Sus scrofa: one gene and its partner. The protein of the gene in region 2 interacts with the protein of the main gene of each other region in a pairwise test. Links are inferred from orthologs where the notes say so. Each region holds a gene or a part of one and is shown on either strand. Other genes may lie near its edges. The genes, in order: KRT20 and NUP62.

Region 1 (16,268 bases), on a different chromosome or scaffold from region 2:
TAGAATGGCTATCATCAAAAAGATGGGATAACAGAGTTCCCGCTGTGGCACAGTGGGTTAATGATCCAGACTGTCTCTTTGGCAGCTTGGATTTGATTCGTGGCCCAGGACCTTCCATATGCCATGCAAGCAGCCGAAAGAGAAAAAAATAACTAATAAATAAAAATAAAAAGATGGGATAATAGGATGTAAAGAGAACACTGGTGTACTATTGGTGGGAATGTAAACTGGTACAGCAATTACGGAAAGCAATACAGAGGTCCCTCAAAAAATTAAAAATGGAACAACACCATGATCCAGCAATTCCACTTCCAGGTATATTTCCAAAGGAGATGAAATCACTGTCTCAGAGACAACTGCCCTTCCATGTTCATGGCAGCATTATTCATAAATAGCTAAGATATGGAAACAACCTACATGTCCATCAACGGATGAACAGATAAAGAATATATATACATATATATACACACACACACAGATATTCTGCCACCTGCAGCAACAGAGAGACCTCGAGAGCATTATGCTAAGCGAAAGAGCCAAGGCAGAGAAAGGCAAATACTGCATAGCATCACTTTTATGTGGAATCTTAAATTGAAGAAGAAAAAAAAAGTCAAACTCATAGAAAAGAGAGTAGAAAAGTGGTTGCCAGGGGCTGGGTGTGAGGGATATGGAGAGAGGTTGGTAAAAGGGTACAAACTTTCAGCTATAAGATGAGTAAGTTCTGAAGATCTCATTTCAAATGTGGTGTCTACAAAAAAAAAAAAAAAAACAAAGAAAGAAAGAAAAAGAAAAGCAGTTCTTATTGTGGTGCAGTGGAAATGAATCCGATGAAGCCTTGCTCAGTGGGTTAAGGATCCAGTGTTGCCATGAGCTGTAGGTTGAAGACATGGCTCGGATCCCATGTTGCTGTGGCTGTGGCGTAGGCCGGCAGCTGTAGCTCCAACTAGACCCCTAGCCTGGGAACCTCCATATGCCACAGGTGTGACCCTAAAAAAACAAACAAACAAACAAAAAAAAACATGGTGACTAGAGCTGACAACACGGTATTGTATAATTGAAATGTACTGAGAGTTTTAAAATGTACTGAATTTTTAAAAAAATTTTAAGCATTGCTTTTTATCACCAGTGTGAGTTACTATTATATAACCACATCTGTCTTTTCAGGTAAATTATTCATAGAGACTGCAAATACTCTTTATGTGTATATTAGGATGGAAAATAAAAAGGGCCAAAGCAGGTGCAGAGGATAAAAGAATACACCTTCCTGTTTCCTTTTGTCTCCCCTGTTTAAAAAAGAAATCACCTCTGAGTAAAGCCTCTTAGAAAGGCCTCTAGTGGTAATTTCTGGAACAGAATTAAACAGACTGCTGCACAAAGGAGAGGAAAAAAAAAGCAAGGCAAGGTGGACTGCGGTGTCGATCGATCGTAAAGGGAGATGTCAGCACAGGAGGCGTTTCTTTCCTGTGAACTCTATAAAAGGTCAGCTCATCCAGGACCAAGAGACAGACTCTGCTCCATCCATCCTGAAGCTACAGCTGCTCCCTCCTAGAATCCCCAATGGATTTCAATCAGAAAAGCTTCCGCAGAACCCTGAGCTCTTCCTCCCAGGGCCCTGCACTCAGCATAAGCAGCTCCATATACAGGAAGGGGGGCACCCAGTACCTCGGAGCCGCACCCAGCGTGTATGGGGGTGCTGGAGGCCATGGCACCCGCATCTCAACTTCTAGACGCGTGGTGAGCTATGGGAGCGACCAAGCTGAAGGGAACCTGTGGGTTGGCAATGAGAAGATGACCATGAAGAACCTCAATGACCGCCTCGCAAGCTACCTAGAAAAAGTGCGGTCCCTGGAGCAGTCCAACTCCAAATTTGAACTGCAGATCAAGCAGTGGTATGAAAGCAACACGCCTGGCATCAGTCGGGACCACAGCGCGTATCTCCAACAAATCCAAGATCTTCGAAATCAGGTGAGGCGTGATGTCTGGGCTTTCCACTCCATTGGTCAGCAGCATGATATGTATGTCAAGAAGGCAAATACGTTAGGTGGGTCCAAACGCTATAAAGCAAATTAGGTTTAAATGTTGCGTCGCTCAAAATGGTATATATCCCATTATCTACCCTGCGTACTGCAGTACCTGACTACATGATAGGATGACTGTAAACCATTCATTTAAAAAATCATCACCATCCAATTACACATAAAATATTAAAATTTTATCCTCCAGTCTTACAATCTGAATTTTGGTCACACATAGTCTACCAAGTCTGGGCTAAGCAGGTAGTAAACATATTTTTCTGGGAAGAGCTAACAATTTTTTATGTAGCAATAAACCTTTCATAGTTTTTCACCTAATTTCTATCAACTTTTAAAACCCCGGTCAATTGAGAGATTTTCCTCCTTTCATTTATGTAAATGTTGTAATTCAAGCAGTAGAATATTCGTTCAGAGATTTCAATGATAAAGTGATTCAGGGTGGAAATGGGGGCAGGGGCCAAGGTCTTAATGATACCTGGATTTTAAAATGTCTTTTAAATGTTTAATAATCTGATCATCCCCCAGCAGAAACCAGTTCTACAGTCATAAAGTATTTTATTGCCCGCAATTCAAATTTATTGCAATCATACCTGCTCCCATATCATACAAGAAAAGGTGGAGTTCTCCGTTTTATCAATTTTATGGAATAAAAGACTTTGCTCCTAGTTGAAGATCTCAAATATGATACAGAACACTTACTCTGTTTGCTAACCTTATCTAATCCCTCCCTTTCGTTTTCATTTCTATTTTAACACTCCTATTTCTTGAGAGCAAGGGCCGCTTGCCAACATGTCTCTTTCTCTTATGTTGTGTTAGACATCAGCGCAATTCGATTCAGATTCATAAGAAGTTATTTCGGGGTTTCAGGAGGATGGGGATGGGAGACAAAGGTGTTTAAATTGTCCCTTCCACCAACATGTCATTCTCCTTGGGCTCCCGCTAGAAAACGTTCAAAATCAGCCAGCCATTCGCCCTACCCCCTCATGATTCACGTGTCTGAAGTTACCTTGGACATCCCAAACACACAGGCAAATGTTCCATTTAGGTGGGCAGACCCAGGATGTGAAGGAAGGCAGTGCTTTTCGGGACTAGGGCTATTGAAAGAGACCTGCCATTGTAGCATCTTTTACAAGCAGATTTCTGGTCCACTTTAGAGGACTCAGTATCAGGTAACTGCTCCTTAAGATCAGGGGTTTATCCATCCTGACAGCCCCAGTGCCTAGTCGAAACCCTACCACATAGCAAGGGTGCATTCATTTGGCCAATATTTAGTAGATATTAACTAGGAGCTGGGCACTGAGGAATATGACGGTGGAGATGATGTGATGTGGGGGAAATGGGCATGCCAAGGATGGATAAATCCTGGCACTGAGGGAAGTGTAGGGCAATGAAGGCGCAGGCAGGTTATCCAGCGCTGTTTTGAGGACAGACCGCCTTGAAGCAATGATGCCTAAGCTAAGACGTGGAGGAAGAGGAGTTCACCAAGCGAGAGGGGCTAAGAGGACTACTCTAAGCAGGAACAACATCAAAGGCAAGGCACACAATAAAGTCTGATGGCTCGAGTTGAAATACACCATCCGTTTGTAAAATCGTAAGCTGGCCAAACCCTTGGGACTCAAGTTGCATTTTATGAGTCTTTGTGTGAGAAAGACCCATCGCAATATGCCGCTTTTCTGTTTTCATGTGAAAAGCCTTTGAGGAGTTCCCGTCGTGGCGCAGTGGTTAACGAATCCGACTAGGAACCATGAGGTTGCGGGTTCGACCCCTGGCCTTGCTCAGTGGGTTAACGATCCGGCGTTGCCGTGAGCTGTGGTGTCAGTTGCAGACGCGGCTCGGATCCCGCGTTGCTGTGGCTCTGGCGTAGGCTGGTGGCTACAGCTCTGATTCAACCCCTAGCCTGGGAACCTCCATATGCCGCAGGAGCGGCCCAAGAAATAGCAACAATAACAACAACAACAACAACAAAAGACAAAGGACAAAAAAAAAAAAAAAGAAAAGCCTTTGAGATGAATATCATCTTTGATATGAGAGGGGTGGTAGCCGAGGATAAACTCAATCACGTTAGGCTCTTGTCCAGTTGAAAATATCGTTCTCTCTTGCATGTTTTCCAGATTAGAGACGCTCAGCTGCAAAATGCTCGGTGTGTTCTGCAAATCGATAATGCCAAGCTGGCTGCGGAGGACTTCCGGCTCAAGTAGGTTCTCAGACACCATGGTAACACCTCCTGGAAAGGAGAGGCTTTCGGTGGTCCTTTATCACACTTTCCACACTATTGCTGCCAAAGGAGCTACTGCGGATTGGTTTCAGGACCTTGGGGTTTTAAGGGTGTTAGAAGCTATGTGGTCTAGTCCAGCATCAGGACCGGACTTCTCTCTCCCACAGTCCTACCATCTGGTGCCCAACCTCGGAATGAACACCTCCAGTAAATACTACTGTTCAACTTGGTCAGCCCTGGTTGCCAGAACCTTCTTTTTTAATAACCTGGCATCTACCTCTTCACCCACTGAACTTAATTCTGCCCTTTGGAGTAAGAGCAAGGCACTTTACAACTTCCCTTCTGCCTACGTGCACTTCTATTATCAAAAAAGAGCTATTTATCTACACTTGGTGATTCTCCAAGTGAGTCATCCACGTTCCTTCCAGTGCCTGCAAGGGTTTGATCCAAGTTCTGGGATGATTCTTGATGCTTTCTAGTTTGCCAGTGTTTTACGGTAAGGTCTGACCAACCAAAGAACTAGGTTAAATAAAGCAGTGAAAACTGTGTTCCCTTTCTCGCAGTCACTACATGTGATCAGAGCTGCTCCTCATACCTGCTTCTATACTGGGGCTTCCTCATTCTGAATTTGTAGGAGGCATTGGCACTAAAGAGTCTTTTGAGGTTAAGAAGGATAACATTTTAACACCGGTACAAGGGATCAAAAAGAAAGAAACAAAACAGAGCTGAAAATTAAAGCAGTAAAAGCTCATTAACTCCATTCGGCCTCTGGGTATCTCATTGCATTGCCATGTTTTAAAGTTTACTTTAATAAAAATGAGAATATGTGATTGCAGAAGAGAATGCATGATCTTTGTATGTATCGGTTTACCAAGTAACAAAAACAAGTTGATGGTGTGTATTCATTAAGTAAATCTAACTAACCATTATGTAACACCAATAATGAGAGCACTTTGTTAATACGGTAATTAGAGTGAGGTATCTTTTGATTAAATATATATATATATATATATAAAATCTAGAGTTTAGGAACTTTTTTTTTTTTTTTTTTTTGGTCTTTTTGCTATTTCTAGGGCCGCTCCCGCGGCATATGGAGGTTCCCAGGCCAGGGGTTGAATCAGAGCTGTTGCCACCGGCCTACACCAGAGCCACAGCAACACAGGATCCGAGCCGCATCTGCAACCCACACCACAGCTCACAGCAACACGGGATCCTTAACCCACTGAGCAAGGCCAGGGGTCGAACCCACAACCTCATGGTTCCTAGTCGGATTCGTTAACCACTGTGCCACGACGGGAACTCCGAGTTTAGGAACTTTTAAAAGTAATTTCAGGTTGCTTTTTTTTAACCAATCACTCCAAATCACAGAGACTATATTATGAAGCAAATGATCTGATTCCAAGGCTCTCGAGAATATGTTCAGACGGTATAAAGGGAGCCACAACAATGTACTGAACTTGATCTCGTGTTATGCCACATAACACTCTGTGTGGAGACACTGATATACACAGTGTGATGTGGTATACAAAGTCGACCTCGCTCCTGTGAGATTCTCTTCTACAATGGCTTCAGAAGGACTCAATTACCTCTCCATACTAATTACTTCACAGATATGAGACTGAGCGGGGGATCCGCCTAGCCGTGGAGGCTGACCTCCAAGGCCTGCACAATGTCTTTGATGACCTAACCCTAACGAAGACAGACCTGGAGATTCAGATTGAAGAGCTGAATAAAGACCTGGCTCTCCTCCAAAAGGAACATGAGGAGGTGAGAAAAGATTCAGAGGTGGTATTGGAAATAATATCATGGCTCTAATAATAATAAAGAGGGGGAGGAGGGGGAAGAGGAAGACCTGGTGATGCTGGTGACAGTGAGGAAGAGGACGAGAATGACGGGAGCCCTGACGCCTTTTCTGAAGGCTGCTGTCCGGGTTAAATGACTTAGAGCGGTATCTGGACCACAGTAAGCCCTATCTAAGTTGTTCTTTCCTATTACGCATCCCCAATGAAAGAAGCCGGAAGACGACTATGTCTCTTGGGCACAGCCTCACCTGAGAATGTGCTTCAGACGCTAATTGAGCAGGACTTTCACTCTCGTAGGAAGTGCAGAGTCTACGCGCTCATCTGGGCAATAACGTAAATGTAGAGGTGGATGCTGCTCCGTCCCTGAACCTCAGCGCCATCATGAGTGAGATGAGGCAGAAATACGAAGCCATGGCCCAGGAGAACCTTCAGAAGGCCAAAGAACAGTTTCAGTTGCAGGTAAGAGAATAATCCTAAAGGGTAAGCAAATATGTAGATGCCGTCCTCCAAAAGGAAGTAACGCCCATCTCCCCCCTCCTTCCCTCCCTTCTTCCCTTCCTCTCCCCACCCCCCACCCTTCCTTCCTTTCTTTTTTTTTCTTCTCTTCCTTACTATTATTTTTTTTTTTCATTTTTGGCACTTCAGATTGAAACTCTGCAACAAGAAGTCACAGTGAGCACGGAAGAGTTAAAAGGAGCCAAAGATGAAGTAAAGAATCACAGACGCACCTACCAGAGCCTGGAGATAGAACTCCAGTCCCATCTCAGTACGGTAAAGCACAGCTAACCTTCCACTCTCAGTGCGGTGTGGGGCCCTAAGTATTAGGAACCCTGAAAATGCAAAGACCTAGAAGAAATAACCACTCCCCTTGCAGAGCAGGTAGGAGAACGGACCAAACAACTGATGTCTAATTTAAAAAAAAATGACAAATGTTTATATGAATAAAAAAATAAAAAAAAAAAAAAAAAAAAAAAACAGAGAGAAGTCAAGGCTAAGGGCAAGTCACTGCCAGGGTCTGCAGGGAAAAAAGTCCAGCTGGAAGACGCCACTGGGAAAGTGGCATGTAAAGTAGACCCGAAAAGGTGAGACGGATTTTTAATAGGAGGGCAGGGGTCACAACATTCCAGGCTAAGCACCTCAGTCAGCTCATGATGAATTATGCTATCGTAACAACCCCCAAATCACAGTGGCTTCCAGCGACAACACTACATGCATCACGGGGTCTCCACAGCTTTGCTCCGTGATATTTCCACTCCGGGCTAAGTCTGACGGAGTAGGCACGACCTGGAGCATGCCAGTGTTGGGCCAGAAAGCAAAGGGCAGTGGCCCGACCACATGACAGCTCTTAAAGCTATCTCTGCAGAAAAGGCATGTGTCCGGTTCACTTGCATTTCATTAGCCAGAGTTGCAAGGCCAATCCTCCAAAAGGAAAGGCGCCCCAAATCACAGGGAGGGGACGCAAATACCGAGAACACCAATACACTGGACCAGAGTAAGAGGACAGTGAGTGCAAAACTGAAAACAAACAAACAAAAAAGCCCAAGAGCCGGTGATCCCAGCCTAGATGGAAAGAGCAGGAGATCAAGCTGGCAATACGCAGGATGCCCACAATGACTAGCTGCAGAAATTCTTCTCAAAAGAAATTAAAATCGAGCCACTTCTTACATTAGGTCCTCAACGAAAAAACGTCCACTTTTTTCTTGTGCTCCTAGAAAGCAGCTTTGGAGCATACGCTGGAGGAAACCAAAGCTCGTTATGGTGCCTATCTGGCCAAACTCCAGACACAGATAAACTCCCTGGAAGACCAGCTGGTGCAGATTCGGACCGATACAGAACACCAGATCAATGAGTATAATATTCTCCTTGACATAAAGACCCGGCTTGAGCAGGAAATCGCTACCTACCGTCGCCTTCTAGAAGGAGAGGACTACAAGTAAGGCTCTCGGAATCAAGGGGTGTGTGGCAGTGGCTATACATGTCCATCCGTTAAACACCATCATTCATTCCCCAGCGCCAATGCCATCCCTGGCACAAAAGCAGTTACACACACCCCACTGCCGCCACCATCACCACCAAAACAGAAATATACTAACAAGTACCCACACCCTCCAAGCACCAAATACATCCTTCCTACTTGAGGTCATATCATAGGACTGAGGCAGAGGAGGATTAGGCAAGCGATACCCATTGTATTCATTTTTACGATTAAGACATCATTGAAAGCACTGTAACTTTTTAGAGTTCTCACTTCGAGGTCATGAGTTAAACAGGCCTAGGTTTGCAAATCATCAGTGTTGCAGCAACAACTTGTCTGTCATCAAACACATCTGACGAAAGCAACAGAGGAACCCAAGATGTAAATGCCCATTGTAATTCTGTCATTTGAATTACAAAAGCTTCTGGTACATGTTATACAGGCCAGTTTTGAAGCTACTTATATTTAGAATTAAAAAGGAAGGCGCTCAGGTTTGAAGCAACCAGTACTGTAACAGTGAGGGGGAGGGGGTTGGAAGAGCAGGACAACACACACTACTCAGACTTTATTTTGAAACAAAAAAGGCAAAAGAGAGTTTCGTTTTCAAAATGTCAATAACACTTTTTGCCTGTTTCTTTTTCTTAACAAAAACAGAACTACAGAGTATCAGTTAAGCACCCTGGAGGAGAAAGGTAAGTGTTCCCATCTTCACACAGTTCCTATAAGACTGAATTCTCACTCAGTAGTTTCCCCCTTTTTTCTTGCCACTGGTGAAAAGTAAAGCGATCATTCTCAAGTGAAGAGCTATTACCCAATGGATTCTGAAAATCAAGCACCTCACATCAAGAACCCTCCAAAGGGGAGACTTCTCATGTGCCTTACGACAGACAGAGTGATTTTCTTGGCCCATGCTTTACAGAATCCTGAGATGCTGAGAAGGAAAAATAAGATAAAAAAATGTGCTTTTTAGGAGGTCTCTAATAGTGTAGCGGATTAAGGATCTGGCGTTGTCACTGCAGCAGCTTGGTCACTGCGGTGGCGCAGGTTCAGTCCTTGGCGTGGGAACTTCTACATGCCCTGGGCACGGCCAAAAAAAAAAAAAAAAAGGGCATTTTACTTAATTCAGTACTGTAAATTTCTTGAAAGGTGGGAGAGTAGAGAATTGTAAATTTGGGAGGAGTGGCACTTTTTCTGCAGTTATTTGTAAAATGGAGTTAAGATGATTTGAGAAAGAGAATGGGCGAGATTTTTCTCTGCAGGAAGGAAATGCATACAAAATAATAATTTAAAGATGACGATTATAAATGAGCAGAGTCATGTGTCTGAATTAACATTTTATATTTAAATCTAAATTCAGATATAAAGAAAACCAGAAAGATTAAGACGGTTGTGCAAGAAGTAGTGGACGGCAAGGTTGTGTCATCTGAAGTCAAAGAAGTGGAAGAAAGTATATAAATGGCTGTCAGAAGATGCTGCTGCTGAGGTTTGGAAGAAATATAAGAAAGCGGCATCAGAAAGCACCATTAATGCTTCATAGTTATTGGGGGGGGGGAGCCCATTTACCAGTCTCTGTAATTGAATATAAATGTTTTAGTCACAGAAGCTGCAAATTGCCTGCAAAAATGAAATCCAGTGAGCACTGGGCTATTTAAAATATCATTACTGCCCGTTTGATCACAAAACGCATTAACCACAAGCTATAGATGACCTAACATCAATTCCTAATGTTCCTGGAAATTACAGCCCATTTCAATTACACTAAACCTTACAGAGCAGAGGAGTCTATGCAAAGAGCAAATGAATGTCTCTCTAATTCCTCCTGTTTCTGAATTGCAAAAATCTCGTTTCAGGATTCCTGAGTTAATTTCTTGGTTAATTTCATTGAATTTTCAATCACGATATAATTCTGCTGGCTTTAACTCATATTTGCATTGTCTCCGCTGCCTTTAAAACTCAACTCGGCTCTGAATAATTTGAGAGCCCATTCCAGTCATCAGTGCTGAGCAGAAATCAGAATGAAATATATTATGCTTGAAATAGGAGTCGATTAAAAGCAAAATTAGTGAAACCCTTCGCAAGGCAGAACGCTTCTCCTTTAACTGCATAAATCGCATAAATTGGGTCGGCGGGCACTCTCTTTCTTTACATGGTGAATGTATGTTATGAAATGCTTCTCACTATTTTTTTAGTAACGGCTCTAATGAAATGTAATTCACGCACCATAAAATTCGTCCTTGTAAAGTATGCGATTCAGTGGTCTTTGGTGTGTTCATCAGATTTTGCAACCATCATCACTAACTTTAAAGCATTTTCATCACCCCCCCAAAAAAAGCTCCATTAGCAGTCAGCCCCTATTCTCTCCTCCCACCCCCAGCCCCTAACAACCACTAATCCACTTCCTCTCTCTAATGGATTTACCTAATCTGGACATTTCACGCATATGGAATCACACCATGTGCTCTTTTGTATACAAATGTTGGTAGCAGCATGACTCATAATAGCCCCAAGTGGAAACAGCTCAAATGCCCATCAACTGATGAACGGATAAACAAAATGTGATGTATCCCTACAACAGAATAGTTCTGTGGGAGTTCCCTTGTGGCACAGCAGGTTAAGAATCCAGCATTGTCACTGCAGCGGCCAGAGTCACTGCTATGGAGCAGGTTCGATCCCTGGCCCAGGAAATTCCCCCCGCAGCCAACCCAGAAAAAGGGATGAAGTACTGATACATGCCACCACATGGATGAACCTTAAAAACACGATGCTAAATGAAAGAAACCAGACACAAAAGGTCACATGTTGTATTCTAGGGAGCATTCTAAATTCTAAATTCCATTAAGTTTGCATTTTAGTGAGCAATAACTGCCCTGTAGGTGTTTACAGGAAAAAATTAATTTGCCCTCTTATCATTGCATTCTAATAAATGAATAGCTCAGATTTATTTATTTATTTTGCTTTTTAGGGCTACACCACAGCATATGAAGATTCCCAGGCTAGGGGTCAAATTAGAGCTGTGCAACTTCAGATCCGAGCCGCATCTGTGACCTACACCACAGCTCACGGCAATGCCGGATCCTTAACCCACTGAGCAAGGTCAGGGATCAAACCTGTGTCCTCATGGATGCTAGTCAGATTCATCAACCACTGACCCAGGACAGGAACTCGTAGATTTAAATTTTAATATTTAAGTTTGTAAACAAAGAGGATTTTGAGTGTGATTGCTATACGGAATATAATAATTCACTTAAGAATAGTAATATCTGGGAGTTCCCGTCATGGCGCAGTGGTTAACGAATCCAACTAGGAACCATGAGGTTGCGGGTTCAGTCCCTGCCCTTGCTCAGTGGGTTAATGATCCGGCGTTGCGTGAGCTGTGGTGTAGGTTGCAGACGCGGCTCGGATCCCGCGTTGCTGTGGCTCTGGTGTAGGCCGGTGGCTGCAGCTCCGATTCAACCCCTAGCCTGGGAACCTCCATATGCCGCGGGAGCGGCCCAAGAAATAGCAGCAACAACAACAACAACAACAAAAAGACAAAAAAAAAAAAAAAAAAAACTGTAAGAATAGTAATATCTACCATTCATTGGGCATTTACTATGTGCTAAACAGTATGCCAGCATCTTATATGCATTTCTCATTTAATCTTCACAATTAAATTGATATCTTCTATCCATGAGGATGAGGGTATCAGGTGGAATCATACGAACTTGCCAATAGGTGATCATTTTTGACCTTCAAAAAAAAAGCAATTTCAGAGTTCCCGTCGTGGCTCAGTGGTTAACGAATCCAACTAGGAACCATGAGGTTGCAGGCTCGATCCCTGCCCTTGCTCAGTGGGTTAAGGATCCAGCGTTGCCCTGAGCTGTGGTGTAGGTTGCAGACTTGGCTCAGATCCTGCATTGCTGTGGCTCTGGCGTAGGCCAGCGGCTATAGCTCCAATTGGACCCCTAGCCTGGGAACCTCCATATGCCATGGGTGCGGCCCTAGAAAAGGCAAAAAGACCAAAAAAAAAAAAAAAATCAATTTCAATGTGGTATGACCTTATAGTATCTCCATTTTATATATGAGGGAAAATGAGAACTATTTTAATATTCAAATTGTATTCTAGGAGTTCCCGTCGTGGCACAGCGGAAACAAATCTGACTAGGAACCATGAGATTCAGGTTCGATCCCTGGCCTCACTCAGTGGGTTAACGATCCAGCATTGCTGTGATCTATAGTGTAGGTTGCAGATGTGGCTCGGATCTGGTGTTGCTGTGGCTGTAGTGTAGGCCGGCAGCTGTAGCTCCAATTGGACCCCTAGCCTGGGAACCTCCATATGCCACAGGAATGGCCCTAAAAATAAATAAATAAATAAATAAATAAATAAATTGTATTCTAGTGAGCATTAGATATAGATCACTTTATCACACATTAGAATCATCATCAAGTTGTTACATTGGGAGTTCCCGTCGTGGCGCAGTGGTTAACGAATCCAACTAGGAACCATGAGGTTTTGGGTTCCATCCTTGGCCTTGCTCAGTGGGATAAGGATCCGGCATTGCCATGAGCTGTGCTGTAGGTCGCAGACACGGCTCGGATCCCGCATTGCTGTGGCTCTGGCATAGGCTGGCAGCTACAGCTCTGATTAGACCCCTAGCCTGGGAACCTCCATATGCTGCAGAAGCGGCCCTAGAAAAGGCAAAAAAAAAAAAAAAAAAAAAAAAAAAAAAAAAAAAAAAGATGTTACATTGCTTTTTATGAAACCATCAGTGCAGAGTGGAGCTTTCAAATGCAGAGAACTTCTGTAGGGAAAGCTAAGATGGACAGAAATATTTTTCTTGGGCTTTGGGAATTACTTCTACATAGAGCCATCTAAAAAGAAGAATGACATGAAATGATATAAAATCAAAACCTGGAATTCCCAGTGGGTTAAAGGATCCCAAGTTGCTGCAACTGCTGTGGTGTAGGTCACAGCTGCATCTCGGATTCAGTCCCTGGACTGGGAACTTCCACATGCCATGGGTGCAGCCATAAAATTTCTTAAAATTAAATTAAATTAAAATTAAACTTTGACCAGTGGCACCCTCTGCTCTCACTCTTACTCACTTGGGGGCAGTCTCAGGTACCCAATTATACCCTCAAATAACAATTCTAACTTAAGGCATTGGCTAGTGATTTCTTTCTTTCTTTCTTTCTTTCTTTCTTTCTTTCTTTCTTTCCTTCCTTCCTTCCTTCCTTCCTTCCTTCCTTCCTTCCTTTCTTTCTTTCTTTCTTTCTTTCTTTCTTTCCTTCCTTCCTTCCTTCCTTTCTTTCTTTCTTTCTTTCTTTTTTTCTGTCTTTTTAGGGCTGTACTCCAGGCACACGGAGGGTCGAATTGTAGCCACAGCTGCTGGCCTACACCACAGCCACAGCAACTCGGAATCCCAAGCCATGCCTGTGAGCTACACCACAGCTCATGGCACTGCCGGATCCTTAACCCACTGAGCGAGACCGGGGATCGAACCTGCATCCTCATAGATGCTAGTCAGATTCACTTCTGCTGAACCAAGACAGGAATTTCTAATTTCAATTTTTTAATTTCCCTTCTCTCTCCTAGACTCACTTCCAAAATTCACCTTATCAGGGTCTTGCTTCCTCTTCCTCCTCCTCTCTCTCACCACCTACAAGCCCCCCCTGCCTTTGAGAACCCCCGAGCTCTGAAATCCCGAAATCCTCCTCCAGCGTGACTCCCAGGGTCCTTGTTCATCCTCATCTCAGAACACACGGCATAAAGGTGTCAGTGCTTTAATCACGGAACACTTGCCTCCCTCAAAAGCACGGCATAAAATGTCAGTGACCCAATATTCTTCTACTCACTCATCACTGGATTCGGAAGATGTGGTATATATACACAATGGAATACTACTCAGCCATAAAAAAGGATGACATCATGCCATTTGCAGCAACATGGATGGAACTAGAGAATCTCATACTGAGTGAAATGAGCCAGAAAGACAAAGACAAATACCATATGATATCACTTATAACTGGAATCTAATATCCAGCACAAATGAACATCTCCTCAGAAAAGAAAATCATGGACTTGGAGAAGAGACTTGTGGTTGCCTGATGGGAGGGGGAGGGAGTGGGAGGGATCGGGAGCCTGGGCTTATCAGACACAACCTAGAATAGATTTACAAGGAGATCCTGCTGAATAGCATTGAGAACTATGTCTAGATACTCATGTCGCAACAGAAGAAAGGGTGGGGGAAAAAACTGTAACTGCAATGTATACATCTAAGGATAACCTGACCCCCTTGCTGTACAGTGGGAAAATAAAAATAAAATTTAAAAAAAAGGTTATTCCAAGCAAAAAAGAAGGGTATTTTAGACCAAGTGATCAGCAAATTGCACAACACAAAAGATCTGTCTTTAAGAGAAAGAACGCAGGGAGTTCCCATCATGGCTCAGTGGTTAACAAACCTGACTAGCATCCCTGAGGACACAGGTTCCATCCCTGGCCTCGCTCAGTGGGTTAAGGATCCAGTGTTGCCATGAGCTGTGGTGAAGGTGGCAGACGTGGCTCAGATCCTGCATTGCTATGGCTGTGGTGTAGGCCAGCAGCTACAGCTCTGATTCAAGCCCTAGCCTGGGAACCTCCATGTGCTGTGGGTGCAGCCCTAAAAAACTACAGGGGAAAAGAAAAAAAAAGAGAGAGAGAGAAAGAAAGAACTCAAAAGGAAAATCCTGCAAAGACCAGGAAACCAACAAATCTGACATGAGAAGATGAGCACACATTTTACTGAACGAAAATCTAAAGATTTACAAACGCCATGTAAATCATAGTACTTATTTTAAATAGTCCCTAAACACTATGAAAACGGAAGATTTAATTCTTTTGAACAGGTCACCCTGGTTGCAGCCACTGTTCTCTGTGCCTCAACTTACGTAACCATTTTGCCAATGAGCACAAGTTTTCTTTCCATTTCATACATTCCCTCCTCCTTTTTTTTTTTTTTTTATAGCAGTCAAAGAAAGTTACTTTCACGTCTAAAAACTCTAAAACGGAGGCTTAATTATTTAACTTAGCCCTCCCTCCCCCACCCCACCCCCAAAAAGCCATTGAAGAAGAAATCTCTCTCTTTTCAACTTCTGAAATTGCTCCCTATTTATAATTGGCTTCAGAATACATCTTGGTCAAAGCATACCAGTAAATGAGAGCAAAGTCATTTTCACATGAAATGAATTTTAAATGACACATGCACATATATTAAGGATTAAGTTCTTTCGCGCGAAATAACTCCAAGGGTGCAGGAATGAAGTCTAGCCAAGCACGAGGCTAAAATTCAGCATAAAAAAGAATGAAGTGGATATAGCCCTGACTTGAGAAGCTTACAGTCTAGGATAATATGCAATATGTATAGAAATATAAATGAGTGGATATTGAACAAAATTACGTAACATTTACACATAGGCATCGGAGTTGGAAAGTATACATTTAAGCACAAAGTTGGTTCCAAGTTCAAAATTTTATCTTATTCCCATATTATGCCATATCACTAAGTTACAATTCTGAGTCTGGCACATTCCTTCTGATTCTGTAAGCAATGAACTGTCTGGTTTCATTTCTATGGCAAGAAAACAGAGTTACTCTTGGTCTTAGGGGGAGGTCGCTTGTGAGTGACTAATAATTTACAGCCATAATGTCAGGGTCCTGTGTGGGAAGTGCAAGTTTAACCAGGGCTTATAAGATCTATGGAGATGTGGTTACAGAGAGTATAACTAAAAATACACTTCCCTATGGAGTTCTCATCCTGGCTCAGCGGACTACGAACTTGACATAGTGTCCGTGAGGATGTGGGTTTGATCCCTGGCCTCACTCAGTGAGTGGGTTAAGGATCCGGCGTTGCAGCAAGGGGCAGTGTAGATGGCAGATGAGGCTCAGATTCAGTGTGGCTGTGGCTGTGGTGTAGGCCAGCAGCTGCAGCTCCGATTTGACCCCCTAGCACAGGAACTTCCATGTGCCACAGGTACGGCCCTAAAAATAAAACAAAATAGGAGTTCCCGTCGTGGCGCAGTGGTTAACGAATCCGACTAGGAACCATGAGGTTGCGGGTTCCATCCCTGCCCTTGCTCAGTGGGTTAACGATCCGGCGTTGCCATGAGCTGTGGTGTAGGTTGCAGACGTGGCTCGGATCCTGCGTTGCTGTGCCTCTGGCGTAGGCCGGTGGCTACAGCTCCGATTCAACCCCTAGCCTGGGAACCTCCATGTGCCGCGGGAGCGG
Region 2 (16,568 bases):
GGACAGGTGTGCCACCTTGTCATGACCTTATGTATCTTCTGGTTGGGGGAAACGGTGGAGCTGGGGGTCCAGCTGAGCCCAACGCCCCCCATCCCCTGCCCAGAGGCCCCTCTGCTCTACAGCCTCGCGGCAAAGTCCCACACAGCGGAGGGAAGCAGGAATAACATGGAGGCAGAAAGGGGTGGAGGCAGCAGAGCCAGGAGGCTCTTGGGGTGTGTCTGGGCAGGGAGTCCCCAGAGCAGCTGGGAGGACCCTCCCAGGGTCCCTGGGTTGACCTCCCACACAGGGTCATTGCTCCCAGTCCCGCTGGCTCTGGGGTCAGTGGAAGGAATGCAGGCCTCACCCAGGAGAACCCATTCAAGAAGCCAGTCCCCTGGCTGCCGCTCTAATGACTGTGGGTACCACTACCACCGTGGCCTGGATACTTCCTGGGTTCTGCTTCATTTACTCCAGTGACAAGTGACAGGGGGCTGAGCAGTCCTCATTTTATAGTGGAGAAAACTGAGGCCCAGATCAGGCACCCGCTAAGAAGTGGCACAGCCTGGTTCCAGGGCTGTTTTGGTTTTGTTTTGGCTGCACCGGTGGCATGTGAAAGTTCCCGCACCAGGGATCGAACCTGCGCCACAGCAGTGACCCGAGCCGCTGCAGTGACACCACCGGATCCTTAACTAGCTTCACCACAAGAGAACTCCCAGGCCTGTGTTCCTAACGAGCACGTGGTGATCAGCCAGGCGCTCTGGCTCGAGGACCAGAGGTGGGGGTGCCCCGTCTCGGTGCCGGGCAGGCGGGACCACTTCTGTGGAGACCGTCCTGTGTGGGCAGGATGTCAAGGGGCGTCACCAGCCTTGACCCATCACGTGCCAGCAGTGCTCGCCCCTCTAGGCCCAAGTAATGTCTCCGGATATTGCCAACGGCTCCCGGGGCGGCAGGGGAATTGCCCGGGCTGAAAAGCACTGGGCCAGGGTTAGGTTCGTGCTGGGCGGGATGCCCAAGAATGGCCAGATATGGTCCAGGAAAATTGGCAGGAAGAGAAATGCAGGGAGGCCGGATGGCAGAGGTTGTTTTGGGGTTAGGAGGCAGTCATTTGGGACGGCTTTGGAGCAAATAACTGGAACTTCCAGTCATTCCTGACGGCATCGAGGAGAGTGATGTTAGGGGTTGAATTTAGGGTGCGGATCGGGGTCAGAAGAAAGAGCAGTGGATTAGGCCAGGTTTCCTAAGCCTGGGGGAGGAAATCGAGGGTAGGGGCAGATGGTGGGGAAGACCTGGGCCTTCCCACCGAATCAACTGTCTGCCTCAGCTGATTTGGGGTTAGGTTTGCCTTTTTTTTTTTGCTTTTTAAGGCCACACTGGAGACATATGGAGGTTCCCAGGCTATGGGTCAAATTGGGGCTACAGCTGCTGGCCTAAGCCAGAGCCACAGCAACATGGGATCCAAGATGCGTCTGCGACCAACATCACAGCTCATGGCAACGCCTGATCCTTAACTCACTGATCGAGGCCGGGGATCAAACCCACAACCTCATGGTTCCTAGTCGGATTCACTTCCTCTTCGCCACAACAGGAACTCCGGGATTGTCTTTTTTTATGATGGAGTTTCTCAAAAACAGTGTCAGTCCTTTCAGATAAAAAACTGTCTTCAGGGAGAAGACCCCACCTTATTTGGCTTGCTTCTAGAACCACAACGACAGGTCTAATGGGGTTCGGTCACTCCCGGAGCAGCCGGAGACCCAGCCTGGCTCCCATGGGGCTGTGGCCCACTGGACAGCTGAGAGTGATGGTGGCCGCTGAGATAGATGGGCGAGAGATGGGGCTAGTGCCTCCCATAGGTTCTTTTCTCTGTCACCCAGAAACCCTGATTGGTCAGAATTAAAATGTTGACCGAGTCTCAGAGGAGGGCAGGGCCTACCGTGGGACACCCAGGGCCCCAGACAGCAGTCAGGGGTGCAGATCTGGTTGGGGAGGGGTGTAGAGAACAGAGGGCAGGCCTCCTTGAGGCCCCAGATCTCTGGCCTGACCCCTAGACAGGGCCCCCGCCCCAGCTCCTAGAACCCCAGGGCCCCGACAGGGACACTCACTGCATGGCTGGCTCTGGCAGGCTCTCTCAGCGCCCATGGCCTTGCTGGTTAGCCTGGGACCGAAGTCATCGTTGGGCGTGTGTGAAACCGGGCTGAGTGGTGGTGGCTCTGTCCTGATTCCCTTGTTAGACCAGAGATGCCAGGGTCCTGGTGTGGGGTCAGAGAAGCAGAGAGGCTGTGGAGGGGAGGCCCTCCCTTCTCAGGAGCTTTTTATTATGGAAATTTCAAACACATATAAAAACAGAGCAACTAGGATGATGAACCCAGGTGCATTCATCGCCTCATAGCCCATCTCGTTTCATTTACATTTTCTACCTTCCCCACTGGGTTTTAATTTAATTAATTTTTTTTTTTTTTTTTGCTGCGCCTGTGACATATGGAAGTTCCCAGGCCAGGGACTGAACCTGCACTACAGCAGTGACCGGAGCTGCTATAGGGACAACGCCAGACCCTTAACCTGATGCACTGCAAGAGAACTCCTCCCAGAGTTTGTTTTAGGGCTGCACCCTTGGCACATGGAAGGTCCCAGGCTAGGTAGGGATCAAATCCGAGCTGCAGCTGCCGGCCTGCGCCACAGCCATGGCGACACTGGATCTGAGTGGTCATCTCCGACCTATACTGCAGCTTGCAGCAATGCCAGCTCCTCAACCTACCCGCATCCTCACAGACACTATGTGGGGTTCTTAACCTGCCAAGCCACAACGGGAACTCCCCATTGGGTTATTTCAAAGCAAACCCTAGACAGATTATTATTTTGTAGGTAAAATACGCAAGGATATTTCTGTAAGAAGAGGTTGGCAAACTTTCTCTATAAATATGAGGCTTTGTGGGCCACATGGTCTCCACCTTGCCTACTCAACCCTGCCCTCGAAGAGGTCACAGCATGTAAATGAACCGGCTGTGTTCCAACAAAACTTTACTTAACAAAATAGGAAGTGGGGCCATAATTTGCCAACCTCTGCTCTAAAATAACTTATTTTGCTGTTTCAAAAACTCTATACCGTTATCACATTTAAACTTGGCGGTAAGTCAATGCTTGCATTTCACTGTCTCAAAACTTTGTGTGCGGGCGTGTGCTTTTTAGGGCTGCACCCAAGACATATGGAGGTTCCCAGGCTAGTGCTCTAATTGGAGCTGCAGCTGCCGGCCCACGCCAGAGCCACAGTAACTTGGGATCTGAGCCGTGTCTGTGACCTACACCACAGCTCATGGCAGTGCCGGATCCTTAACCCACTGAGTGAGGCCAGGGATCAAACCTGCAACCTCATGGTTCCTAGTTGGATCTGTTTCCGCTGCGCTATGATGGGAACTCCTCAAAACCTTTTTTTTTTTTTTTTTTGCCTTTTCTAGGGCTGCTCCTACGGCATATGGAGGTTCCCAGGCTAGGGGTCTAATCGGAGCTACAGCTGCCAGCCTACGCCAGAGCCACAGCAACGCAGGATCCAAGCCATGTCTGTGACCTACACCACAGCTCATGGCAACACCGGATCCTTAACCCACTGAGCAAGGCCAAGGATTGAACCTGCAAATTCACCGTTCCTAGTCGGATCCATTAACCACTGTGCCACGATGGGAACTCCTCAAAACCTTTTTTAAAACAGTTTGAATCAACAAAGAGTCTGCATTGCATCTAAGTAACACTGTAAAGAAGTGCCATTTTCAGTTCAGTGGATCTGGGAGTCTCTGTCCTTAGGACCAGGAGGGGTCTGATGGGACTGCCCTGCCCCAGGCTAGGCCTGAACCGAGCATAGCAGCACAGCAGGTCTGGTCTCTGCCTTGAGGAAATCTCTGGAAGTCATGGGGCTGAGGCAGGATGGTGTTTGGAGTTGAGGCGTGGGCAGGTGCCCAGGAGTCACTGGTATGGCAAGTCATCAGTGCCAAGGTGTGTGAGGGTTATGGGACAGGCCCAGGGGCAGCTCTGGACAGTTAAGTCTGGCTGGGGGCTGGCTAGTATTCATGGGCAGACCTGACTTCTGAGAGTGAAGGACTTTGTTCCTGAGAAGGTTCCCCCCCCCCACCTTTTTTTGTCTCTTTAGGGCCGGACCTGAGGCATATAGAGGTTCCCAGGCTAGGGGTGGAATTGGGAGCTGCAGCTGCTGGCCTGTGCCACAGCCACAGACACGCCAGATCAAAGCTGCATCTGTGACCTCTACAGTTCACGGCAACGGCAGATCCTTAACCCACTGAGCAAGGCCAGAAATTGAACCCTCATCCTCCTGGATACTCGTCAGGTTTATTAACCACTGAGCTAAGACAGGGACTCCCCCCTCCCCCCTTTTTAAGGGCCATCCTGCACGTTCCTCGGGCAGGGGTTGAATTGGAACTACAGCTGCTGGCCTATGCTACAGCCACGGCAGCACTGGATCCTTACCTCACTGAGCAAGGCTGGTGATCAAACTTGGATCCTCAAAGAGACATGGGGTCCTTAACCTGCTGAACTACAATAGGAACTCCTGGGGACAGAGGTTAAAGCACCCAGGCAATTTTGAGGTTGACTGCAAACCTTGGGAGCAGTGGTGTGCCGAAGGTGGCTCATACTATTTCACAAGAGCTGACTTTAATTTTCAGACCTCTTTTTGGTTTTGCTTTGCCAGCTGTTACTTAAAAATTGCAATATTTGTAATTAATTTTATTTTACTTATTTTTTAATTTGTTTTTTCAGGGCCGCATCTGTGGCATATGGAGGTTCCTAGGCTAGGGGTTGAATCAGCGGCAGCTGCCAGCCTATACCACAGCCACAGTAACACAGGATCCAAGCTAGGTCTGCCACCTACACCACAGCGCACGGCAACACTGGATCCTTAACCCACTGAGTGAGGCCAGGGATTGAATCTGTGTCCTCATGGATACTAGTCAGATTTGTTTCCACTGAGCCGTGACAGGAACTCCTATGATTACTTTTATTAAAAACAAATACTCAAATCTCATCAATTATTTGATTACATTGTTACTATTAAATATATGCACACGTGCACGCACACACACGTTGGTGAATTAATTTTACCTACGTGGGATGGCAATTTCCCAAGTTCGTGTTCAGTCACCGGGTGGCTTGAAATCAGTCCTGGTGGGAGAATTTACACCATGGGAATTGGCACATGTGGCCCATGAGGGCTCCTCTCCCCCTGGGGGCGCTGACATTTACCAGCACCTCAGTGCTCCCACTAGGGAATCATCTGTTTCAACCACTTCCCTTTGGAGATCAAGGTTGCGCTCGCTCCGGAAATGCTGGCTGTTTCAAACATCTGACCCTTGATGCCCTGTAGTGCCTAGGAGGCCAGGGCAGCAACCTGGGGAAAGGGGCTGGGCCATGAGGGAGGGAGTTTGAGGGTGTCTTTGAGATGAAAGCAAGGCCATCATCGTAAATCCAACGGCCACTCTCTTCCCTGAAGAGGGAGAAGAAATGTAGGAAACAGTTTACTGAGGAGATTCACCTTTAAAAGCCTTTGACTCCAACTTTAGTCACCACGTTTGTTGTCTTCATGTTAATTAATGAAGAGGAACTTAAGGAGAGGCTATGTGTCTGGACTGGCAAAGAAACATTAGCTGTTTTATTCCTGGAAAGGGAAACTGCAATTACAATGAAGTCAGCATCCAGCCAGCTGCTGAGCCTGTTGCAATCTTGGGGCCCCCCTCCCTGACCTCCCAGGAATGCAGAAGTTCCTGGGCCAGGGACCTAACCACCCAAGGCACAGTGGCAACCTGAGTTGCAGCATCGACAATGCCGGATCCTTAACTCAACGTGCTACAAGGGAACTCCAACTTCATTTTGTTTTTACCAAAAAAATACAACTATCAGAAAGCCATTAAGCTTCATTAATTTTAATATGCCAAATAATAGGTACATTATACACATGGCAAATGCAAGTTCAATCATTTTTTTTTTCTTACCATGATTGTGTGGCCCCTGCCAAGGACCTCATAGGTAAATCGGGTTTCATCTTCAAAACCCCAATACCAGATCAGGACTTGGTATGTAGCAGGTGCTCCAAAGATGGGTGTAGAGTGAATACATGTAGGTAAAAATACTACTTCTGATTTTCGAGGCATCCCCATTTCTCCTCCCCTCAGGCGAGGGGTCAGATATGGGTCCTGGATGAGGTCATGGCTCACAGACTGCACAAGGGGCCACTGTGGCAGGAGGCGGAGCCTTTGGAGGGGAAAAACTGGGCATATTTTCTGCTCCGCACCAGGAACCAGATCCAGGTGCTCGGCGTCACTCGCAGCTGCGGGGGCCAGGGGCCGAGGCAGCGCGTCAGGCTGGTGTCTGGAAATCACTCGAGACAAGGCGGCTGCCCCCCCAGCTTTACCTGTTTCCCACGGTTGAGGCATGGCCAGAACCCCCCAGGCAGCCTGAGGTAACAAAGGCAGGAATGCTGCCAATGACACGCCTTGGGGATGGCGACCTGACGCTTGTATGCCGGAAGATACAACCCAGCTACAACTGGTGCCCCCGTGTGCTCCTCTCTTGCATCAGCACCAGACGTGTGAACATCTCTGCCTAGGCGTGGGCATGCCTCGCCAATGCTCTGGTTCTGCTTGCTTCTAAGTTTCAGACAAATGGCATCTGACTTGAACTTGAACCTGCTCTGTTTTCAACCCTCTCCTTCTAAGGTGCCAACATTAACAGCAGCATTTCGGGTTCCACGGTAACTTTTATTTTCTTTAGAAGAAAAGCAACATACAGCCATGGGTATTTCAGAGGATGCAAAAGAGTGTAGAGACAAATACAAAAGCCACCTGGGATGCAGGTGGTCTGGCTCCTGTCTTCCGAACACCGTGCATCTCACGAACTGACCGGGTCTGCTCTGGCGTTGAGAGGTTCAGAGCCAAGTCAGGGGCCACCTCTGGCACCCTGGCCCTTTCAACGGGCACTCTGTGGACTAATGTTTTATGCCAGGTTTCAGGTCCACTGTTAATACAATTGACAAGTGTGACAAGGATTGCACTGAGGACACAAAGGCAACAAGAAATAGTCCCTGCCCACAGGGACGCGCAAGCTAAGGGTGAGGCAGAGAAGCAAGCCAGGGGCACAAGGCAACATGGCGAGCGTTACCAAAGGGGTCGTGAACTGGGTACTCACTAGCTCCGCGTTGTGGGGCTCACAGGACGGCCACCTGACTCAGGCTCGGGGTGGCAGAGAGGGCTTCCTGGAGGAGGGGTCAGCCAGGCAAGATGAGACATCTTCATTCCAGCCCCTCAGCAGACCTATCTTTCCGCCTTTGAAATTCTACCTCCCACTGTCCGTTCCATTCCTAAGTCACTTCTTTGTACTGACTACATTTACCCTCGATTGCTGGCTCCTCCAGGACGGAGACTCCTGCACCTCAGTCTTTTCTCCCTGCACCCACAACTGTGTGCTGGGCCCCCTGGCTGGGAGCCGGGCTTCTGAGGTGGCTCAGCGCTTCTCCACCACTTGGAGGTGGGGGGGGGGCGGCAGGCGGAGAGGGTCCAGAACACACAGACGCCACACCTACTAAGCTGCTGCCTGGATCGGAGTGCTAAGAATACTTGCTACCCCCTAAGACGAAAAGTCAAACCATGGGACAGTGCTCTCAACAGCACAGCTATCTGAAGGAAAGAAAGAAAGAAGCAAGCAACCAACCAACCAAGTATTTCGTTGCAACCAGAACCAAGACAGTGACTGCACGTTCCACACGGCACATGCGCGCTGCCGGGTGACGCCCTGGGCTTAGTCGAAGGTGATGCGGAGGCTGCGCTCCTGCTCCTTGCGCCGGCCCTCGCACACCTTGGTCACCTCCTCCACCTTCCTCTGCAGCAGGGCCGAGTTCTGGTCGATCCACTGCAGGGAGTCCATGTGCGCATTGAGGATCTTGCAGATCTGCTGCAGTGGGTCGCTGGTGTCGGCGGGGCCCCCCGACGTGTTCAGGTGCTCAATGATGTCCTTAAGGTCCTGGGCCATGCGCTTGAGCTGCGCGTCGATGTTCTCGGCCAGCTTGTAGGTCTTCTCTCGCTCCTCATCCGCGTGCTGCAGGTACACTGTCCCGCTCTGCTCCTTGACCGACTCCTCCAGCGGGCTCAGCAGGTCCTCCAGCTCCTTCTGCTGAGACAGGATGAAGTCGAGCTCCTGGTCCAGCCTCTTCTGGTCCAGCTTCACCTTCTCGACCTCGCGGTGGAGGGTGGTGATCTTCTCCCCGTTCTCGATCAGCGTGCGGTCCCAGGCGTTGACCTGCGTGGCCTGCTGCAGGAAGTGCCGCTCCTGGTCCTCCAGCTCCAGGCTCCACTTGTTGATCAGACTCTCCAGTTGGGCGTAGGTCATCGCGGGGTTGGCGGATACGCCGGTGGCCGCACTGGGGCCGGCTGCAGCGGTCCCGGAGGCCGCTGTGTTGCTGGGGATGGCAGCTGGTGCCAGTGGTTTGAGATTCAAGGCCAAGCCTGTGGTGGTGGCGGTGGCGGCGGTGGTGGTCGTGGCTGCAGAGGTGGTGGAAGCTGCTCCGGGGGGCTTCAGGCTAAAGCCCAGCATCCCTGTTCCGGGCGTTCCGGCTGTGGTTGCTGGGGCACAAAGGGAGAGCCCCGAGGTGGTAGATGAGGCTGGAGTGGTTGCCAGTGAGGCAAAGAGCGTGGGCCCAGTGGTGGTGGTGGTGGTGGTGGTGGTGGTGGTGGTGGTGGTGGCGGCGGCGGCGGCGGCGTGGTGGGTGTGGGGGCAGCCGGCTGTGTGGCCCCCGCCCCAGTGGCTACTGGAGTGGCCGGAGTGAAGGGCAGCCCGGGAAGGGCTGTGGGTTGGGCCGAACTCCCCACGGAGCCGATGTTGAAGCTGGAGGTCCCAGTCTGGGACGTGCTTCCACTTGTGAACGAGAAGCCCCCGGGCGTGGTAGACGGAGCAGCAGAGGTGGTGGTGGAGCCAAACACAAAGCCGCTGGGCGTGGAGCCCTGGGCGGATGTGACGGCGCTCGAGACGGCATTGGAGAGCGTGCTGCCGCCCAGCCCGAAGCCGCTGGGCTGTGCTGGGGCTGGGGTGGCAGCTGCGCTGCTGCTCAGGTTTAGCTTTGGGGTGCTCAGGCCTAAGGAAAACCCAGTTCCTCCTGCGGCAGGAGTTGTGGTTCCAAAACTGAATCCCGGGGCCTGCGCTGTCGCTGAAGCCTGGGTGGTGAGTGAGAACAGGCTGGTGGAAGGGGTGCTCGAGGCCGGCTGGGAAGGGGTCCCAAAATTAAACCCTCCGGTGCCAGATGTAGAGAAAGAAAACGCAGCAGGTGTGGTCGTTGCTGTCTTTGCAGCGCCGAATGTAAACCCGCCTGTGGGGGCCCCCGTGCCTCCAAAATTAAACCTGCTCATGGCTCCAGACTCTGGTGGCAGCAGCTACTCCGGCTCCCAAAGCAATTCCACCGGTGTCTGCAACCTTGGAAAGATGGTTAAAGCAGAGGAAGTGACACGATCAGATGGCAGTTTTGGAAAGGCAGCCTCAGTGGCACGATGGAGCCCATCTGCAGGGTGGCAGGGCTCGATAATTACGATAAGCGGCCACCCTTGCTCTTCCCGCCACCAAACCTAAGCAGGCCCTGCTCAGCTAGGAAGGAAGGACCGGGACACACAGCCGCTACCCCGGCGGATTAGGCGCAAGGAGCAGGATGGACTTGGGCCCAGCACAGCCTGGTCAGCTGGAGTCCCGCTGTGAGGGGGGGAAGCCCAACCGACTGCAGCCCAAGGAGGCGGTCAGACTGGAGGCGCTCTGGCAAGCGGGACCAGAGACACACAAATGCCTTTGGGACCCACGCTGCAGAGCCCTCTGCTGACTGCAAGCGGGCGGGATGTAGACTGATTCTGGATCTCACAGAGAGATGGCCCTGGGAAGCAAAGCCGTGTAGCAAGGCCTCAGGTGCCCAAGGCCCCCCCTTGTGCACCCACACTGTTTAGGAGGGTAGGTGTGTACCCCCACCCTCCTTCTAATTCAGGGGCGAGCAGGAGACCTGGGTGCTCAATCAGAGCGCTTGGCACCCCAGGTCAAGAGGACATTGAGATGCCAGGCAGTTGAGAGGTTTCTCTCCAGGTGCGGGAGAGGCGGCCTCCTGCACCTGCAGGGCACCCCCATCTTCTCAGCCGCTGGCAGTGGGAGAAAGAGGCCGACACCCGAGAGAGCACAGAGAGGAGATGGGGAGAGAGCGACTGTGGAAGAATCCAGTCCTGCTCACCAGCCTCACCCCATCTTAGCAGAAGCTCTCTGTGGGCCAGCCCAGCCCCCGTTGGGTTTAAGCTGACGGGATTTCCATAATCTCTAACTGAAAAGCCCTGAGCAGAGCCTTGTGTTAGCTGGAATGTCCAAGGTGATTTGGAGAGGAAAGGATCAGAGGGTGAGCTAGACAGAGATGTTTTTAGGCAAAGGGGCCCACGCTAGCACTGACGTCAGGCAGGCAGCTCGTGGATGCGCCCTCCCACCGCGGTCTGGAGGCAAAGGTCAGGTCCCCGTGTCCAAGATGAGGAAACGGGCTCAGAGGGCTGCGGTGACCTGCCAGGAGCGGACCCAGGCCGAGGGTCTTCTCGGGACCCTGCTGGCCCCACCCACGCATCTCCTTGCCCAGCACAGGCACCAGACGACAGGCAGGGCATTTCTCTGCACCCACTGAGGGGACCAGTGAGGTATCAGCCACAAGGGAAGATCTGCATCACACCCACTGATGTGGCCTCAACTATGCACAAGAAATGCGAGAAATGACAACAAAGGGACGCGGCAGGCAAATTTAGCAGTGCAGCGCAATCTCGGCTGTGGAAAAAGAGAACAACTCAGAGCAAAGCAGGTCAGAAGGAAATATATCGAGATGTGGTCAGGGGCTGTCTCTGGGGTGTGGGACTACACGTGGCTCAGCTGCTTGGTAACTGGCAGTCATTCCAAACGCTTGTTCTGTCTGTACAATAAAGAAACGTAATGATAAGCAAGGTTTTCAAAAATAACTAAATCACGTGGTATAAATTTACTCTGCAGAACCAGGAAACTTGTGCAGCCAGGTTCCTTCTTTTTTTGGGGGGGGGGGGCACACCGCAGCATATGGAAGTTCCCAGGCTAGGGGTCAAATCAGAGCTAAAGCTGCCAGCCTACACCACAGCTCACGGTCACACCAGATCCCTGACCCACTGAGCGAGGCCAGGGATCAGAACCCGCATCCCGTGGTAATATTAGCTGGATTCATTTCTGCTGCACCCTGAAGGGAACTCCATGCAGTCAGGTTCTAAAAATCACAGTTCAAGTGGGACAGATAGAGTTACTGAATTAAACAAGCCTCCCCAAGGCTGGCTCTCAATCAGACCTCGTCTTGCCCCAAAGGTGACTCGGGCATGGGGAAGGACCAGACACCACGGGTTGGGCCAAAGGCAGCGGGGGAAGCTGGCACATGGATATAAGACTGTGCCAAAGACGTGGGCCTCCAAGGATGCCCGTGTCCCACTCCCTGGAACCTGTACTACACCACAGTGTGTGGCAGAAGGAATGTTCAGGTGTGATTAAATTAAGGATCTTGAAATGAGGCAATTATCCTGGATTAAATGGTGGGCCCTAAATGTCACCATGGGTGTCCTTATAAAATGGAGGCAGAGAGAGATTCGATGAGAGAAGAGTCGGTGAGTGCAGGCGGCCTCTAAAACCTGGAAAAGGCAAGGTACCGGAATCTCCCCTGGAGTCTCCAGAAGGAACCATCCCTTTGACACCTGATTTCAGCCCAGTGAGACTGTTAGACTGATCTTATCTCATCTGAAAGAGAATGATCTGTAGTGTTTCTGCTGCCAAGTCTGTGGTCACCCAGGAGAGCAGCCAAGCAAATATAGCAGGGGAGTAGAAAGTGCCTGGGGATGAGAGAGGAGGCCTCCCGACACCCTAGGGCTCTGAGATTCAGCTGCAGCTTGGCCAAGGTCAGGGGAGTGCCAGTGCTCTGACCACTGGCACCTCATGCTGGGACGCGCAGCACTGTCCCTCTGGGCAGCCTCTGGAAGTGGTGAGCAAAGAAGGAAGCCCAGGAGGGGCTGGGAACCCAACTATGAAGTTCTCATGAAAAGACCCGGGGGTCGTGGCTGACCTCAAATTAAACACGAACTCATGGTCACTGTCACTGCTCAGGGTGCCTTGGGCTGCATGAGAAGTGCCCACTCCAGTGTCAAGACCAAGGTGGTTTTTAGGTCACCCACCCTGGCCCGATAGCTGTGTGCCCAGCACTGAGCTATGGACCCCTCCTCACAACCGCCCTGTGATGAGGTCGGGGTGATGGCCCCGGCACACAGGTGCAAGGGGAGGGGCTCTGACCAAGTCACCTGCGATACCACCCACAGTGGGTCCCTGGACCCCTGCCTTTGCCCTGCAAACCCACTCTACTTCTGCTCCATCAAGCAGGTCACAGGGCCAACAGTGCTGCTCCAGGGGCACAGCCAGCGGCAGCCCACTTTGCCCCCACCCTCGTGTGCTTATTCTCCCTTCATCTTAAGACAGCGGCACTGTGGCTCCGTTTGCAGGCACGAAATTGGTCTCCAGATATAAAGGAAAGACCCGGGCTTGAACTCTGCTCCTGCCGCTCACTAGCTGTGGGTCCCGGGGCAGGTGGCTGCCCCTGCTCCGTCTCTGCTTCCCTGCCTGTGATGAGGACAGCCCCTCGCACCCGGGAGAATCACCCGAGGTTTCGACTGAGGGGCCGCGGGCCTGGCCCAGAGAAGGTGCCCACAGGTCCTGCTCCCTCTCCCAGCCTGGTTCTTCCTTTCTCTCGGGATCCACAGGGAACCCTCTCCCAGCCAGAGGCAGAGGAAACCTGCCTGCGTAGCTGCCCTTCCCTCTGCCTTCCTAGCAGAGCTCTGGCCTTGTGCCCGTGCTTCTGGGGAGAGGAGCCCGGACCACCCCAGCCTGCTGGTCTCGGCCAGATCTCCACTGGCGCCCTCCAGGCCGGCACCTCCAGGACCCACACTCCAGACGCGCACGGGCACTCATATCACCAACTTCCGTCTCTCCGGGGACGGGAACCCGGCCTTGGCCTCTCTGCAAAGCCCTTCTGTGGGCCTCAGAAAAAGGTGGTGGCCGCCACTCTGAAGACCACAGGCACCTGGCCCTGCGCCAGACCCCTCCTGGCTGGAGACGCCCCACCCCACCCCTGCCCCTCAAGCCGGGTCCGCTGTTAGTAGAAGCAGCCAGAATGGCTACAACTCCGCGTCTCAGTTCTCAAGACCTCACCCGAGAGAACTTTCGCTATTATTAATAAGCTGCAGCTACAAGTTTTCAGAAGAGCATTTATAGAAAGTTCTTTGCTTTTTATACCATTAAGAAACCACAAGGAAAACAATCTTCTGTGGGGGCCTGCCTGGTTTAACGGTTCGGTCATCCATTTCCAACAGCTCGGATGCCAGGGACCCACGAACGATGGTGAGGGCGCCCTGGCCCAGCCCGGAACACTGCGGGCCCCTGCTCACTTGTGCCCGAAAACAGGTCCATCTGACAAACGAGGGGAGTGAGGTCCAGGGAGGTTACTGAACTCCTGGCCTCCGCCTGGAAATGGGGAGGAGGCCCGGCTTGAGGGGGAGCAGGGAAGGGCTGACAGGCAGGCCCAGGTGGTCCGAACCCCGCACATCCCAAAGAACGACTGGCCCCTGCCAGCTCCTGGGAGGGAACCTTAAGTCCTTGGAGCATCCTGCCTAACAGCACGTCTTTAAGGGGGCGGGTGTCTCAGGGTATCAGCATGATCTGTGGGGGGCTGGGGACTGAGTAACAAAGGTCAGTGACAGGTGCTCGGAGCCTGGATGGCAAGGCTTCCTTGGTGGGCAACATTCTGCGCATGTGCTGTGTGACCCCACTGGGAGAGGACGACCGGAAGCTGTGACCTCGTGTCTCCTGGACTCTGCCCTGTGTCCCTTTTACCTTTGCTGATTTCAATCTTTTTGTTTTCTGCTGTAATAAACCACAACTCTGCTGAGCTGTGAGTCCTAGCAAATCATGGAACCTGAGGGTGGTCTCAGGGATGCCTGACATGCCTGTATGCTGCCACGTGACATGATGAGAGACGCTGGCAGAGCCAGAGATGCCACAATCACGGTCAGACTTTATCCTGAGGGTGCCGTGGAGAAACTTTAAGGAAGCTTCTGGGAAGGCCTAACATGGCCAGATCTGTGTGTGGGGGATAGGCTGGAGGGGTGGAGGCTGGGACACGGTCCAGGCCCTGAGCCCAAGACCTGAGCCAGGACTCGAGGGACAGCGAAGACAGCCCCAGGTCAGGAAATGTCTACATCTGCAATGAAATGAGACAAACTGATGGTTCTGCAGGGCCTGTCCTGGTTAACCAACCAGAACTTCCAGAGTTTCTCACAAAGGTGGCTAAACACAGGCACACCACTGTGAACTGGGGGGAGAGGAGGAAGCCCTCCGTGAGGGCTCGTCCACTTTTACCAAAGCGGTGAGCTTCCCCACAGAGGAGCTGGCGGTGCTGGCGGGGGGGGGGGGGGGGGTACAAAAGCGGGGCAGGCGGTGCTCTTCCTGGAAAAAGCTGAGGGTGTGCTCCGTCGGCCACAGGGGATGAGGCCCGGAGGGAGAAGTGGCTGCCTGAGGGCGCTGAGGGAGTTACCGGCAGAGCAGGCAGCCATGCACTTGCCCTTGTTTTTCAAACCACCTCCAGCTGCCTTCGCAGCCCAGGGGGGCGTCTGGGATTCCCACCTATAGACACACACCGTGTCCCTGGCCTTTTTTTTTTGGTCTTTTTAGGGCCACACCTGCAGCATACGGAAGTTCCCAGGCTAGGGGTCGAACTGAAGCTGCACCTGCCAGCCACAGCCACAGCCACGCCAGATCCGAGTCGTGTCTGAAACCTACACCACGGTTCACGGCAACGCCGGATCCTTAACCCACTCCACTAAGCAAGGCCAGGGATCGAACCCAAGGCCTCATGGATACTAGTTCGATTTGCTAACCACTGAGCCACGACGGGAACTCCTGTCCCTGGCTTTGAGGACCCAGGTTCTCCACTGTCACCTCGAGCCTCACGAGTCCACCAACCTCAGCCCTGTCTGCAGTTCTTGTGCCGCTCCAAACCCAACTTTATCTACTTTATTCAATCCAGCAATTACTCAGCCCTGCCCGGTGCGTAGTGATGACAACAGAGAGGAAAAAAGGCCTGTCCCCACAAGGCGGGGTGGTCACATAGGCCCAATTCTCTGCAGTACAATGGTCAGTCATACAACAGGTTTTGGGGGTCTTTTTTGTCCATGCCCAAGCAAGAGCAAGTTCTCAGGCCAGGGATCAAACTCACACCACAACAATGATAGCACTTGATCCTTAACCCACTGAGCTACCAGGGAACTCCCACAACAGGTATTTTTGTGCATCTTTTTATCACCGATGGGACCAACGAGCCCCAGCTCTCACATCCCCACAGGGGAGAGAGGCAGGAAAAGACGTCACAGAGAAATTACGTGTTAGAAGAGGCTCAGCGTCAAGGAGAAAAGACGGAGTGGGGCAGGGGCAGTGGGGGCGCCGGTGCAGGGTGTGGGCATTAAACAAGACAGCCCAGGGGAAGAGCATCTGAGACCAGAGGGAGCAGCCAGAGCAAAGTCCCGGGACTCACGCCCACCCCCACCTCCAGATAGCAAGAGCAGGGGCGTTTGCTGGGGATGAATACGGGGGGACCTCAGCCTTGGAACAGAGGAATGGAAAGATTAAGGGGGATATGGGGGGAGGGGTGTGGTGTGTGGACAGAAGAACAGCCCTAGACATGTCCATACCCCAATCCTGTAACTTGTGAACATGCGACCTCACTCGGCAAAAAGGGACTTGACAGAGGTGACGGGGAGATGGTCTCGGATGATCTGTGTGTGGGCTTTAAAACGTCCTCAAGGAGGCAGACGGCAGAGCCAGCGGGACTGGGACCGTTGCAGGAAAGGCTACTCTGAAGACGGAGGGAGGGGCCACGAGCCAAGGAAAGCAGGTGGCCTGGGAGGAGCCGGAAAGGCCAAAAGCAGCCTCTCCCTGGGTCTCCAGAGGAGCACAGCGCCACGCGCTCCGCTCCGCTCAGACGTCTGCCCTCCAGAGCTGAGAGAGGAAACGTCTGTGCTGTTTTAAGCCACTAGGTTTGCGGTAACTTGTTCCAACAGCAATAAGAACCTAATACCAGGGGAAGGGACAAAGAAAGAACAAGATGGAACTAAGCGCAGATAAAGGGATGGGCAACATATCCCAGAGCTGGACTGAGGGGCGACGGGGCAGGCCTGCCTCTGTGCAAGGGCCGAGGGCATGGGGCTGTGGCAACCGCTGGGCTCCGGCAGCTGAGGGGCTAGAGGGGAAAAGAACTGTGAGCTGTAATTCTGAAAACCTGTTCACTCCCTGCCATAGGGGCCATCTCATGGGCGTGAACGCGTGTGACACCCAGCAAGGGCAGGCCACCTAGGACCAAAGGAGGGACAAGATGGCCTGGGAGCATCAAGGAGGGCTCTCGGTGGTGATGAGCCCGCAAGGCAGGATTGCTCCGTTTCGTGCACTGAGAGCAGTGCCCAGCATGCAGCAGGTGCCCAGTAATGGTGAGTGGC

What was found.
Region 1: the proteins of NUP62 (region 2) and KRT20 interact in binary tests that used the Homo sapiens proteins (3 or more experiments, as listed by UniProt). The two-hybrid records come from large-scale screens. The link is inferred for Sus scrofa from reciprocal best matches to the Homo sapiens genes NUP62 and KRT20.

The regions. Positions count from the first base shown.
Region 1 is NC_010454.4:21,583,312-21,599,579, forward strand, and holds KRT20 (keratin, type I cytoskeletal 20), read left to right. Parts: upstream 1-1,371; 5' UTR 1,372-1,557; coding exon 1,558-1,965; intron 1,966-4,144; coding exon 4,145-4,227; intron 4,228-5,858; coding exon 5,859-6,015; intron 6,016-6,347; coding exon 6,348-6,509; intron 6,510-6,695; coding exon 6,696-6,821; intron 6,822-7,762; coding exon 7,763-7,983; intron 7,984-8,679; coding exon 8,680-8,717; intron 8,718-9,382; coding exon 9,383-9,480; 3' UTR 9,481-10,272; downstream 10,273-16,268. UniProt on the Homo sapiens protein: Plays a significant role in maintaining keratin filament organization in intestinal epithelia. When phosphorylated, plays a role in the secretion of mucin in the small intestine.
Region 2 is NC_010448.4:54,913,857-54,930,424, forward strand, and holds the end of NUP62 (nuclear pore glycoprotein p62), read right to left. Parts: intron 9,436-16,568; 5' UTR 9,372-9,435; coding exon 8,735-9,371; intron 8,691-8,734; coding exon 7,771-8,690; downstream 1-7,770. Other genes in the region: IL4I1 (L-amino-acid oxidase), read right to left, coding at 2,079-2,115. UniProt on the Homo sapiens protein: Essential component of the nuclear pore complex. The N-terminal is probably involved in nucleocytoplasmic transport.